Linked DNA regions of Pelodiscus sinensis. The protein of the gene in region 1 purifies or fractionates together with the protein of each later gene. This does not show direct contact. Links are inferred from orthologs where the notes say so. Each region holds a gene or a part of one and is shown on either strand. Other genes may lie near its edges.

Evidence for each region.
Region 2: the proteins of SF3B1 (region 1) and SNRPA fractionate together in Homo sapiens (co-fractionation; 4 studies listed by BioGRID and IntAct, with this or other methods). This does not show direct contact. The link is inferred for Pelodiscus sinensis from reciprocal best matches to the Homo sapiens genes SF3B1 and SNRPA.

What each region holds. Positions count from the first base shown.
Region 1 is NC_134717.1:71,442,377-71,449,636, forward strand, and holds the start of SF3B1 (splicing factor 3B subunit 1), read right to left. Parts: upstream 3,007-7,260; 5' UTR 2,887-3,006; coding exon 2,859-2,886; intron 1-2,858. UniProt on the Homo sapiens protein: Component of the 17S U2 SnRNP complex of the spliceosome, a large ribonucleoprotein complex that removes introns from transcribed pre-mRNAs.
Region 2 is NW_027465849.1:7,412,424-7,419,583, forward strand, and holds the start of SNRPA (U1 small nuclear ribonucleoprotein A), read right to left. Parts: upstream 3,018-7,160; 5' UTR 2,859-3,017; intron 2,807-2,858; exon of another isoform or gene 2,783-2,806; intron 2,101-2,782; 5' UTR 2,076-2,100; coding exon 2,003-2,075; intron 1,726-2,002; coding exon 1,553-1,725; intron 1,436-1,552; coding exon 1,259-1,435; intron 1,010-1,258; coding exon 836-1,009; intron 503-835; coding exon 414-502; intron 277-413; coding exon 117-276; 3' UTR 1-116. Other genes in the region: ACTMAP (actin maturation protease), read left to right, coding at 3,444-3,697, 4,482-4,550, 5,567-5,691. UniProt on the Homo sapiens protein: Component of the spliceosomal U1 snRNP, which is essential for recognition of the pre-mRNA 5' splice-site and the subsequent assembly of the spliceosome. U1 snRNP is the first snRNP to interact with pre-mRNA.

The sequences.
Region 1 (7,260 bases):
AAAGGCTATTAGCCAGGGGATAAAATGGTGTCCTTGGCCTCTGTTTGTCAGAGGCTGGAGAGGGATGGCAGGAGACAAATCGCTTGATCATTGTCTTCGGTCAACCCTCTCTGGGGTACCTGGTGCTGGCCACTGTCGGTAGACAGGATACTGGGCTAGATGGACCTTTGGTCTGACCCAGTACGGCCATTCTTATGTTCTTATGAGAATGTGAATGTTTGCAAGACTGGCATGTATATTTGCATTGTTACCATTTTTGGTCAATTAGGGTTATCAAAGCTGGTAACACAGAGAAGATACTAAAGAGACTGCAGCCTTGACAAACCACAGAATATTCAGATTTTCTGCAGAGTGATAAGTCTGATCTATTCTTACAATTGAGGCTGACAAACCTACGGCACTCAAGGATTTGAACAATCCACAAGTAGAGTTCCCTCTAAGCTGCACCGCCACACGGCTGCCAAATAAGCCCTGTGCAGCGGCTCAGGGCTGCCATGACTAGGAAAAAAACGCCTCTCCCCGCTGGGCTGGAGGAATGCACCTGACCCCAGCAGCGGAGCTAGATTAAGAAAAGGAGAATTAGGGGCTGCACCCAATAAAGCCCACCCTGTGTTCTGGGCCATCCCCTCCTGGGGTGTGGGGAAGATGGATCTGTGCACTTCCTTCCTATACCCACCCCCCAGCTGGAGCCACAAGCATAGGGAAGCCCTGCTAAATATCATAGTGGTAACACACAGGCTGTGTCTACACTGCAGGCTTCTTGCACAAGAATGGCTGTTCATGCACAAAAAATTTGTGGAGCGTCTACACTGCACACATGTTCTTGTCCAAGTAAATGTACAGCAAAGCATTGGAAGAGGGCTTCTTGTGCAAGAGTTATTCCTCTCTCCACAAGGACTAAGACCTCTTGCTCAAGAAGGCAGGGTGGACAGGCAACAGTGTTTTTTTGTGCAAGAAACCCCCATGGCTAAAATGGCCATCAGAGCTTTCTTGCACGAGAGAGCGTCCGGCTCGACAATCTATGTAATCTACTCGCCCGTGGCAAGTAGATTACAACCCAGAAGAGCAGGGTTCGGGCGATCTGAGTATGCACAGATTGCTGGACAGCGCTGCTCGGCAAGCCCTGCTTATGGGTACCCACCCCTGCACCAGCCCTTCTCTTCCCCATGTCCACTCCTCCTCTAGCCCCATTCTGATCATCTGAAGCTACCCCTCCGTATCCCCTCTCCTAACACCTCCCTCTACCCACCTGCCCCGCCTCTCTCTTCTGGTGCCCATTCCTCCCCCACTTTGTGTCTGCCCTTCTGCTTCACCCCCACAATCCCCTGGTACCTGCATCTTCCCTGGGGAAGGAGGCTGCTGCACTGGTGTCCCCATCAAGCTGCGAAATGAACGGCAGGGCTTTCCAGCACATTTCACTACTTGATGGGGAACTGGGACAGAGCATTTTAATTTGCGACAGTCCCGGGAAAAATCAAAACATATGGTCAACGTATGTATGAGGCATTCAGATAGAATAGGGGTACTTAGTAGTCCCCCACACATGTAAATAATTTCTATCAGTTGTCTCAATTTGTTATAAAGCTATTTCAAGAGCAGAAGTATTACAGATGTTGTTCTGCAAAGGCATTTTTTGCATACACTCAGTGGGGAAATGAAGTAATGAATCTGGCTACAAATAACCCCCCCCCCCAACAAAAACCCACCTTTTATAATTTGTCATAGCACTTAAAGCGTTTAAGGGCCCAATTCTGCAAACTGTGACTGAACAGATCTGTTGATACCTACTCAGACTCAATGAAGTCAACAGTGTTCCTCCCATGTAGAACTGGGCTCTCATCTAGTAATTTTGCAGACCATGACAGATTACAGTATAGCCAGGGTGGAGAACTTTTTTGGGGTCAGGGAGCCACAGAAAAACCAGTTGGGGGGCTACCCACAAGACAGAAGCAAAAACAAAAAAACAAACCCCCTCACTGAGGTGGCTAATGGAAGAGAAAGACACTCCCACATTCCCCTTGTGGGGGCAGCCTAATCGATTATGTGTGCTCCAGCCCTCCATGTGGGGGTGGGGGGTTGGCGAGCCAGTGCAGGCTCTGCAATGCTAGGATGAGGGGTGGCCCTGAGCCAGGCAAACTAGGAGACACCTCTGGCCCCAGGGTCTCAAGTTCCCCACCCCAGGTGTATAACCTTAAGCGGGCAGAGGGCGACGGGTACCTCAGAAACAACATTACTCTCTGGCACTACGTCAGCAACAATTGTCTAATATTCCCTAGCAACCCGATATCAACCCCCTTATTGCAAAAGAAACAGCACTGGTAGGAAGGCTGAGCGAGGACGAGCTGACTCAGGGAGACTGCGCTGCCAGCAGGGGTACCCACGGCCAGCCCCTGCTGTGGACGGCGAGTCAATTGCAATGCGCCGGCAGACGCGACACGTTGCCGTGGAAAGCGCGCCCGGACCCGAGCCTGCCCGGGCCGCAGCAGGCAGCAAGGCGAGGCGAGCCGGGCGGGATGTGTCACCGCCCCTGGCCGGCCTCTCCAGCGGGCCGGGAGGCGGCTGCGCACGGCGGAGCGGGGCTCCCACTCCAGGGGCGCCGCGGGCCACACGTCACCTCCCAGCAGGAAGCGCAACCGCGGGGCCCAGCCCCTCCCCCCAGCACCGTGTGACCCCCCCCCCGCCGCAAGGGCAGCCCGAGAGGCCCCGGCGGAGACGCCATTACACAGGCCCGGCCCGCCCGCCCGCTGCGGCCTGCGCCGCCCGCCGCGCCACGACAGCCAGCCCGGCCCGGGCCCGCGAGGCGCTGAGGCAGCGGGGGGGGTGGGGGGGGAGCGAGCGGGGCTGGCTCCGTGTCTCACCTTCGTGGGTCTTGGCGATCTTCGCCATTTTGTGCAGCCCGAACAACACCGAGGCGGAACTGGAGCGCCCCGTCCCCCCAGCCACTTCCGCTACGAGGGGGCGGAGGGAGGGGGAATCACTGCGCAGGCGCGGTTCTGTCGGGCCGCGGGCGACAGAGGCGCACTGGGCAGGCGCGGGTTGCGTCGGCGGCAGAGGAGGGGGGGGGCGACAGCTGCGCAGGCGCGGTGCTGGCCCTCGCGAGCGTGAGAAAGAAAGCCTTTGCCTCGAGCCCTCCGCCCCCTGGTGCCTGGCTGTGCGGTGCCAGCCTGGCTGGTTCCTAATACGCATTACATGCAGAGCTGCACCAGGGGGAGGTGCTGGACCTGTTGCAAGCCAGGACTGAGCTGGGTTGCTGCTAAAAAAAAAATTGCTGATGTGGGAGGGGAGGAAAATGCATATGGTCTATAGCATTAACTGATATGCTTTTGCGTATTGGTTAATCGCCTACACTAGTACATCCCTGTTCTCCACCAGTACATAGATTTTGCAAAAAGCAGCAATCCCTTGTGTTCAGTCTTAAATTTCCTCTCTGCTCTTGGGGTCATCTACAGTATCTAAGATGGATCCCCTCATCAGGTGACATGGTCACATGTCTCTGCAAGGCCCCTGTTAATGGGCTATCACAGCCCTGTAATGTAAACTGTAAGGCTACGTCTACACTGGCATGATTTTCTGGAAATGCTTTTAACGGAAAAGCTTTCCATTAAAAGCATTTTCGGAAAATCGCATCCAGATTGGCAGGACGCTTTTCCGCGAAAGCATTTTGCGTGGCCAATCTAGACACGCTTTTCTGCAAAAAAGCCCCAATCACCATTTTCGCGATCGGGGCTTTTTTGCGGAAAACAGTACTGTGCTGTTTACACTGGCCCTCTTTCGCAAATGATTTGCGCAAGAGGGCTTTTGCCCGAACGGGAGCAGCACAGTATTTCCACAAGAACACTGTTGATCTTACATGAGATCATCAGTGTTCTTGTGGAAATTCAAACGGCCAGTGTAGACAGCTGGGAAGTTTTTCCGCAAAAGCAGATGATTTTGCGTAAAAACTTGCCAGTCTAGACACAGCGGCTGTGTCTACACTGGCCCCTTCTTTGGAATAGGCATGCTAATTTATAACTTTGGAATAGGGAAATGCACGGGGGATTTAAATATCCCCCATGGGATTTAAATAAACATGGCCGCCACTTTTTTTCCGGCTTGGGGAAAAGCCGGAAAAGAGCGTCCAGACCGGTGCGATCCTCCGGAATAAAGCCCTATTCCGGAGGATCTCTTATTCCTACTTGAAGTAGGAATAAGAGATCCTCTGCACTCATGGTAACATGCCTAACATGCCTCCAGCCTGGGGTAGGGGGTAGTATATAGAGCCTCCTCCCCTTTCTCCCACCAGGCAGAGCCAGCCCAGAATGCAGCATACTTGAGCTACGTCTACACTGGCAGCTTCTTGCACAAGAACTCTTTTGTGGAAGAGTTCTTGTGCAAAAACTCTTCCACAAGAGAGCGTCTACACTGCCATGTGCTTTTGCGCAAGAGCATCCATGGCAGTGTAGATGCTCTCTTCCGTAAAAAAGCTCTGATGGCCATTTTAACCATAGGGGCTTCTTGCACAAGAAATTTGTGTTGCCTGTCTATACTGCCCTCTTGTGTTAGCTGTCTGGTTGCTGGGACTTAGCTTGCCTAGGGGAGAAGAGACTTGAACCCACCACCCTATACTCCCCTAGCAAATGCCCTATCTACTACATCACTCCAGAACCCAGCCCGCCTAGCTACCTTCAGAGGGTCCCTTATCCTGCCTTCCTAATGCGGGAGCCAGGTCCATCCCAGGGACAGCCTCTGTTGGCTGTCTGGTCACTCCCAGTGTTGTGCTTAAAAGAAGCACACGGGATCTTTTTCAGGGGGATAAGGCAACACGCCACATTTATTGAACATACATAGATCAATCAACACTTTCTCACATGCATATGATACTTACACTTATGCACTCACACACACAGACACACAAGCACACTCCATCTTATTGTTACCAAGAGTTGCTCCCGTTAACTGCACTGGCCAAGTGAGTTAGATGTGGGGGGGTGGAGCGGGCTTCTGCCGATCCAGATCGATGCTCCCATGTTGACAAGACGAATAATCCGGGGTCCCTCTGCAAGATGCCTCATATTTATCCCTCTCATGCAGCCAGTTAGTCATCACCTTGCCTTTGTAATGCTTTAAAGAGAGGTCTTTCAAGGGCGGGCACTTGATGCTTGACTCCCAAGGCTGTCTGTATGTCCAGTCTTCTTAATGAGCTCACTTTACAGGTATTGTCTTGATCTGGCTCCCAGGCCCTCTCGACCCTTGCAACTGCTGCTGGATGTGCTCACCTTTCATTCTCCATTCACACCTCATTCATTTCAACAGGACAATCAAGGAAAAGGGAGAGCTCAAAAGAAATTTTTTCTTTATCTTAAACAAAGTGCCCCTGAATCCAGCATCCCAAAACCCCTCCTGTGCCCCAGCTCCCACCCCTGTACTTCCTCTTACACTCCAAACCCCCTGTGACTGTACCTCTGCTTAGGAGCAGCAGGGATGTGTCTGCTTCCAAGGAGCCATGCAGAACCAAGCAGGAAGCCTGCTGGTCCCCTAGCAACTGGACTATAAACTGGACTTTATATTAATATTATTAAGGCTGGTTTATAGAGCTTTCTGGACGGTTGCTACAGGGCTGGATAACACAGGTTTTACTGTACTAGGAAAAATTCATAATGTAGATCTCATTTATGACCCATTCCTGTGATGCCTTAATTATATACTAAACTTTTACACACTGTGGCTATGTCTAGACTCCATTGCTTTTTCAGGATACTAGAAGTATCCCCAAAAAACAACGCCGCGTACAAGGAAAGTGTCCGTTTTAAAAAAAAAATAATTTGAAAGAAAGGATGTGCTCTTTTGCCATCCCTGTAAACCTTGTTCTATGAGGAATAAGGGAAAGCTTGAAAGAGCACTTTCTTTCGCAAGTAGAAAGACAAATTTCAAAAGAGCCTCTTTCGAATGTAAATCAGAAAAAGATACACAATTTGCATACCGCAAATTGCGTTTCTTTTTCCAATTTAACAGTGCAGTTTAGACATAGCCTGTGAGTAGTTCCACTGGACTCTGTGAGATTATTCACAGTAGGCACGAAATGAAATGTATGCATACATTTTTGCATGATCAAGGCCTACATTCTTAGTGGATATTGAATCCTTAACAGAAATAAAATGTCTTGCATGAGAAATTATAAGGTGTCTGAATTAAAAGGATATTATTATAAAGAAATTAACCTGAATACAAGCCTCTTTCAGATGCAACTTCTCTTCTATAGAGCCTCAGTCTCATCCAGTGATCATTAATTTTCAAGAAAAACAGAACAAACTCTAACTTGTAATGTAAAAGTCAACCAGAAAAGCACATTTCTGAAATTTAAAAAACCCAAGTCTTCAGGCCTCTTTTCTGTATTATAAAGAAGCATGAAAGCCAACCCCGTAAAGATAATGGCTAATATAATTTGCTTTTTAGGGTTGCCAATTGTGGTTGGATGTACTCCTGGAGATTTCATCACATTACATAATCTTTAATTAAAGAGTAATTCTTGGAGTGTTGGCAACCCTATCTGTCTTGGGTTCCTAGAAAACAGCAGAGAGAGCAATTTAACTTTCGACATGCCCAAGTTGCTGTGACTGGTGTCTCCTCCATCAGGCTGGGACTGATGTCTCTGATCACTTGAAGTCCTACAGGCAGTCCCCGGGTTACGTACAAGATAGGAACTGTAGGTTTGTTCTTAAGTTGAATCTGTATGTAAGTCGGAACTGGCGTCCAGATTCAGCCGCTGCTGAAACTGACCGCCAGTTCCGACTTACATACAGAATCAACTTAAGAACCCCAAGCATCCCCAAGTCAGCTGCTGCTGAAACTGATCAGCAGCTGATTCCAGGAAGCCCGGGGCAGAGCAACTCTGCCTCGGGCTTCCTGTAGTCAGCGCTGGTCAGTTTCAGCAGCAGCTGACTTGGGGACGCCTGGGGCAGAGCAGCTGGGGTGCTGCTGGGTTGCTCCAGTAGCGCCGCTCCTCGGCGCTACTGGAGCAATCCAGCAGCACCCCAGCTGCTCTGCCCCAGGCGTCCTGATTCAGCCGCTGCTGAAACTGACCAGCAGCGGCTGAATCAGGACGCCTGGGGCAGAGCAGCTGGGGTGCTGCTGGGTATAACTGATTTCATAATTTATTTTTGCTGTGTAAGTTTCAGCAAAACGGAGGAGGAGTCTTGTGGTACCTTAGGGTATGTCTACACTACCCCCCTAGTTCGAACTAGGGGGGGGTAATGTAGTCATACAGAGTTGCAAATGAAGCCC
Region 2 (7,160 bases), on another chromosome or scaffold:
AAAACCGGCCAGCCCTGCGGCCAGACTTACCTGCCAGGGAACTGGTTTAAAAAGGGGGGCTGGTTGAGAACAGACTAACTGGGGGTGAGGGGAGCAGTCCTGGGCCCCGGGGGGCTTCATTTCTTGGCGAAGGAAATCTTCATGGCGTTGCTCTGCGTGATCTTGAAGCCCTGGAGGGCGTCACGGGCAGCGCCAGCCTGCACCTCGTTATCGAACTCCACGAAGGCGATGTCGTGCCGGCCAGGCACCAGCCGCACCTCCTTGAAACCCGGGAACCTGGGGGGCAGGATCCGGCCATCAGAGGGACAGACCCCTGGATTGCTCTCGTACCCCCACCGTGCCCACAAGCCACACCTCCCCCCCAGGGGGTAGCCCCACACGGCACGCCCAGAGGGCCCAGGCCCCGCACTCACTGATTGAAGAGCATGGAGAGCATGAGCTCGTTGGTCTCCTCCGGCAGGCTGGTGAGGAAGAGGATGTGGTTGGGCGGGTTCTCCGAGAGCTGAGGGGGAGAGAGCAGAGTGAGGCCGGGAGCCCTGCAGGGCGGCGCCAGCCAGACGCCCACAGCAGGGGCAGTGCCCAAGGCAGCCCCCTCCTCACCCCCATTACCAGGGGAAAGTGCCCCCGATCTCCATGCACCAGCGCCCTCCGGGCCTCAGCACTCCCGGCTTCTCAGCAGGGGCAACTGGCTCGGAGATCATCCCACACGAGCCTCCGAGCTCTCTTCCACTGCCCACCGCAGCCTGCGTCTTGGAGGGGAACGGCCCAAGCCCCACGCCTGGAGGAAGCTCTGGTCCGACCGGGCGGCTCCCAAGCCGTGCTCTGTTGTACTCACCTGCTGGGTCGGCGGCATCTGGCCTGGCATCATCTGCTGAGGGGCCATTCCCCCAGGAGCCATACCCCCCGGAGTCATGCCAGGTGGGGGGATCATGCCCGGAGGGGGCATATATGGCGGCTGGCCTGCCATGTGGTGCATCATGCGAGGGCCCTGGTTCATTTGTGGCATCCCCTAGGAGAAAGAGAGAGGGAGGCCTGGCTTCACAGCAAGATCCTGGGTGCAGAGCTGCCCTGGAGGCTTTGAGAGCTGGCAGCCCTGGCACTCACAGCTGTCCGCAGAAGCCAAACACAGCCGGCAGCCTTTGCATCTGGGAACAGCCTGAGACCACACTGGCCGCACAGGGAAAGGCTCCCCCATGGCCCTAGCTTCGCCTGCCAACCAGCCACTGAGCCAGTCAGAGAAGCTGCTGGTGTTACTTACAGGGACAGCTCCTTGCACCGCAGCTGACACCGGCGCGGTCGTGCCAGGCATCTGCTTCTTGACCGGGGGCGTCTCCGGGCCTTTGGGCTTCCTCTTCTCCCGCTTGCGGTCCCGCTCCACATAGGTGCCTTTCATTTTCGATATGATGTCCGAGTCTGACTTGGCGTACTGGATCCTCTGGCGGGAGATACCATTCATCAGGAGGAGCACGGCCAACCGGCACCTCTGGCCACTCCAACAGCACCCTCCAGACTGGCTCCCTCCCCAGGAGGGGGGGCAGCACGCAGCACTTACCATGGGCTTGTCGTAGAAGGGGAACCCCTGCATAGACCTTAAGGCATTTGTGGCACTGCTGATTTCCTTGAAGATGACGAAGGCTTGGCCTCTCATCTTCAGACTCCGAGACACCAGGATATCCAGGATCTGGCCAAACTGCGAGAAGATGGCGTAGAGAGATTTCTTCAGCTCTAGGGGAGAGGCACACAGTTAGGCACACGGATCGGACAGACACCGCTCGACCGCCACGAGGAGCTGTGCACACAGCGGAGCTGGGGCAAAGCAAGCAACTCCGGTGCACACCTGCCACACCAAAGAGAGGGGGTCAGTCCTCCTCAGCCAGATGGCACCGGGGACGGCCAGGGATTAGAGCCCCTGCCTCCTCCGAAGTACGCGCCGTGGGTACCAACCCCTCAGCCCACCCACACGGCCAGCCCAGGCCAGGAACGCCCGCGGGAGTTGGCTCACCATCCTTCTTGATCTTCTCGTTGAGGTTGTTGATGTAGATGGTGTGATTGGGGCGGGTTTCCGGGACAGCCATCCTAAGTGCTTCGCAACCACGGGGTCTAAGGAGAAGAGACAGTCAACGGACACACCCGAGCCATGGCGATGTGGTTCCCCAGGCCACAGCAGCCCCATGATGGGCGGGGGTGGGGGGGGTTTGGCTCCAGGGGTCATGGCCCCCAGGAGATCCCCATGGTGCCCATCCAGTAGCTGGAGCAGTGGGATCCCAGCAGGTCAGAGCTTGCACAGGGGTGTGATGCGCGGGTAACGCCCCCCCCACCCCCCTGCGGAGGGGTGTGATGCGCGGGTAACGCCCCCCCCCACCCCCCTGCGGAGGGGTGTGATGCGCGGGTAACGCCCCCCCCACCCCCCTGCGGAGGGGTGTGATGCGCGGGTAACGCCCCCCCCACCCCCCTGCGGAGGGGTGTGATGCGCGGGTAACGCCCCCCACACACCCGCTCGCTCACTCCTGCCTGGCCCAGCCAGCACACACAGAGAGCCAGGGCCGCGTCTGGGGTCATGACCTCACCATGGGGGGGCGGGTCAGCAGGGCAGCCCCGCCCCCCACTGTACGACAGCCCCGCCCCCAGGGAGCTAGGGCGCCCACCCTGGGGGGAGGGGAGCCAGCACGTGGCTCTGCGCCCGGGAGAGACCCGGATGTAGAGACCACCCCCCCCCCGGGAACCCCACCCCCTCGGAAAACGCCCCCTCCCCCGCCAATACCGCCCCCTCCCCCGCCAATACCGGGCTGCCCAGGCCGGGCCCGGCCCCGGCTCCCGACCCCGCGGCCCGATGGCCCGGCCCCGCCGCGGCCGCTCACCGATGGAGCCCGATGGAGTCCGCAGGCCCAGGCCGCCCGCCGCCGCCACACGAGCCGCGCCGAGAGCGCCGTCCGCGTGGGCCAATCAGCACCAAGCAGCCTCGGCCTCACCAGCCTATCCAAAAGCGCGCCCTGCCAGCCCCGGCCAATGAAAGGACGTCGGCCCCGGGCCTGGGAGCCAATCCCGGCCGTGCCGCGCGCCTGGAAAGGGACCAATCCGCAGGGGGCGAGCGTGGCTCGCCCGCCTAAGCCGGGTGGTCGGCAAGGTAACTCCCGCCCCCTGAACGGCCATTGGCTGAGAGCAGCTGTCAGTAGCCGCTGTGGCTCTGCTGATTGGCGGCCTTTGGCGCGCGCCCCGGAAGGAAGGGGAGACACAAAGGAAGCGGGTGTCCAACCACGTGACTAGACTCGTCCGACCGCAGACCTGTCCCGCCATCGCCTTCTTGGGGGGGCACCTGACACCGCCCCCGGTGGCGACCCCTGACCCCTCCAAGCCACGCCCCCTCCCCCCGCCCGCCAACTGACCTCTGACCCCTGGCCTAGTCTGCGCCCTTTGACCTCCTGCTGCCCCCAGCCAGGGCGGGGATGGCCCATAGGGGTGGGGTGCCTGCCCCTCCCCCACCCACTCTAACCCCCCACCAGGGCCCTCCCCCCACCCCCCAGCCCGGCCCTGCCTTGCCCCCTCCCCCGCCGCCTCCCCCGCTGCCCCCCCCTGCTCAGTCCCTGCCCGTGTGCGGGGTCGACAAGGCCAAGTTCTTCAAGGCGGCCCTGGAGCGAGCGGCCCCCGCGCCCGGGGGCAGAGACGACGTCCGGGAGCTGCTGAGCCGCAGGACAGCCAGGTGGGGCCCCGCCCGGTCACCCCCCCGGGCTGGGTCCCGCCAGTCTCGCCTGCTGAGCCGCGCCGGGCCTGGGTGGGCGACCCGCTTGGTATTCCCAGCGCCAGGGGTGCCCGTGCTGCAGGGAGCGGGTCTAGGGCTCGGCAGAGGGGCACTCTCTCGGCAGCGCAAGGGGGCATTGTGGGGCAGGGAGCAGGGCCGGGGCTCAGCAGAGGGGCACTCTCTCGGCAGCGCAAGGGGGCATTGTGGGGCAGGGAGCAGGGCCGGGGCTCAGCAGAGGGGCACTCTCTCGGCAGCGCAAGGGGCCGCTGTGGGGCAGGGGAAGGGGGAGGCATCGCTCAGCTCTGACCCCAGTTCCCCAGGATGGCCATAGAGATTGGTGTGTTGCTGGAGGTTCCCGTAACTCTAATGAGACATAGACGTTCATGCCTGGTCTCTGCTCTTTGCTCCAGAGCCCGGGTGTGCTGAACTCCAGTGTCCTGGCCAGGGCCTAATTCGGATCATTCCATTTTGCTTCCCTAAATTCAGTTGGCCAGGCAAGAGGGTACAGGACCTTGGGCCACTTCCTGTCCCATAGTGGGGCGTGGCTGTGTGGCCGGCCGACAGTGGCCACATCCCACCCCAGAGACCGCCGCAAACCCTGCAGCAGATGAAGTCAGCACTCTGCTTAGTTCTCCCAAAAGGAGGAGACATGATCTTCACATTAGTCACGCGGAGGGGCCCACATTGGGGAAGAGGGGCTGCGGGGCAAACGGGCAGTAAGAGCTTGTTTGGGTCTTTCTTTCAGCTTTAGCAGGCATTTAAAGTGGCTTCTGTACAACAAGCCGGTGCCTTCCTTAATCCAAGAGGGACCTCAGTGAGTATTGCAACCACGGGCAAAGGAAGAGGGGAGGGGTTTGGGGTCCCAGTCCTATGGAGCCACAGCTTCCCCGTCTGGCATTTACTCCCTCCCCAAAAGTTGCCAAGAGCTGTTCTGTGAGCATGGCAGGGCGAGGAGCATAGGCCTGGCCAGTCTGAGCTGGCAGGGAGCTGGCTGCTGTTACACACCAGTTGTGTTACGTCAGCGCCTAGGACTCCCAGCCACGGACTAGGCCCCTGTTGGGCTGGGTCCTGGACAAACATCCTAAAAGACCATCCTTGCCCCAGAGCCGTGCAATCTCGGGCTAAGATAGAGCCAGTCCGTGGAGACAGACAGAGCACGGAGTGATGGGAGACCAGGAGACCATGCCAGTGTAGTGGCCAGGGGTCTCCGCACAGCGGCGGTCTAATCTCCGTGAGGTGTCTTGGAGGTGTCCCAGCAAAGGAGAATTTCCCAGAGCGCTGCTCAGGAGGAAGAGGAGGGAGCCGTGTGGATATTTACGGGGAGCTCCGCTCCAGCAGTGGGCGAGAGTTCAAAAGGCCGGGGAAGCATGACTCGCTGTGTCAGAGGGAAAAGGAGCATGAGGAGGTAGCACAAGGTCTGACGAGTTGATCTAAACGTAACGTCCCACTCGGGGGCAGTCCTTAGAACTGTCTGGCCTCTTCCACCTTGAGCAAGCATCCCTAGACAAAGCGGCTGCTCCCCCTAGCCCCCGCTTGGGGGGGCGAGTGGCAGCCTCCGTGAGTTGTACCTCGCACCTTGGAGAGGAGGAACGACGCCAGGAGCTGGTGTCTGTGGCCAGATGCTCCCATTAGATCATATCATAGCCCCAAGGGGAAGCGAGAAATGTGGGGAGGCCGGGAACGGGAGGGAGAGGAGGCCAAAGGACACGGTGACCCAGGGAAGCATTCCAGGGTGGACTGTGCTGCAGAGAATTACCTGTCTTTGAATCCAGCTCAGCCTGGGGACCGGGATCCCAGCAATGTCTCTTCTCCCTCCCCCTCCCCCCCCAGGTGCGGGCTGGTGGCACTGTGGATGGCAGGCTCCCTCCTCGGTCTGTCCCAGGACATCTCCCTGGAGAGGATCCTGCGGGTAGCGTTGGAGAGAGGCTACACCGCCCAAGGGGAAATGTTCTCAGGTCAGTCGTCACAATCGCCCACGGCAGGCGCTTTGCACTGGGCTGGGCGCTGGAGGGACTCTCCAAAGCCCGTTCCGGGCTGCGACTGGGTGAGGAAGTCCAGTCCCCAGAGGGCCCCGTCACCGGTATGTGAGAGAGGGCCCCAGGGAGCCATGGGAGCTCTGCTCTCGCCATGCTGAAATTCAGACGTTGCTGGGAGCCGGCCGCCTTCCCGGAAGGGCTGCTTTGGGCTCGGTGGAGGGAAGCTGGGGCCCGCGTAACAGCCTGTGCTGGACCGGAGGTCAGATCCGATGAGCTAATTGTCCTTTACTCTGAGCCCTGCCTTCTGCCTGGCTGCGGCTCCTGGCTCTGGCCCTCCAGTGAGGTTCGTTTGCTTGGAAACTTGCAAGCGCCTTGGTTGGGAAAATCCCCACGGCCGGGCTGCTAATTTCCCGGCCGAGGCAGAAGGCCCCTCTGGGAGCCGCGTCTGGCTAACACCGGCCTCGGGCAGAGATCGTGAGACTCTCCTACGCCCTCAGGGCTGGGGACTCCCCTTTGGCGCTTTTCGGGCCCTCACTGTCCAGCCTGCCTGGACACTTCTGCTTTCTTTGAAAGCACAAGATCCCTTGGAATCCCGGGGCTGCAGGAGGTGGGGCTTTGTCGGGAAAAACACCGGCTCTCCTTGGCAAGGCTCCCGCATGCAGGCCCCAGCCTGGATGAAGGCCCCAGTGCCGGGTAACAGTGTGGTACGTTCTCTCTGATTCTCGCAGGGACTGGTAGGATCAGCTGGCCCCAGCTCCTGTAGAACAGGGGCCACAGGCCTGCCCTGAATTTGCTCCTGGGTGAATGAAGCTGATCTTTCCAAACACCAGCCTGTCTGGGTCTAAACGGCTCCAGCGACAGACCCCACCGCAACCCTGCCAGTCGCAAATTCCCCTCCCCATTATAGATCTCTGCCCGCTTCCTGTCTGAATTGGTTTAGCTTCACCTCCCAGCCCGGGCTTGTGTTTGATCTTTGTCACCGGCCCTTGGAGATCAAATTGCCATTGCCCGTGTCAGATCACATCCCCCGCGGTGGGTTTCCCTTGCGAGCCGTTGGGGCGCTGCTTAGGGGAGCAGAAAGCCGGGGATCCTGAGCCAAGCTTGGGCCGTGCAGCTAGGGGTGGGCCCAGGGGTGGCCCTAGACTAGCTGCCAGCAGCTGGCGCCCTAGGCAACCCATGCAATCGGCACCTCCACCTCCAAACTCCTCAATGATCTGGCGCCACCATTTGGCGCCCCATTTAACTTGGCGCCCTAGGCGACCGCCTACTTCGCCTATATGGATGGGCCGCCCCTGGGTGGGCCCGAGGGCAGCTTGAATTCCTGTCCCTGCCTCTCCCAGCGGCTGACATGGCCCAGCTGGCCGAGGAGGTGTTCCCGTGCCGGGCAGAGCTGCTCTCAGGAGGCCTGGAGGGAGAGAACCAGGAAAGGATCCTTCGCCATCTGACTG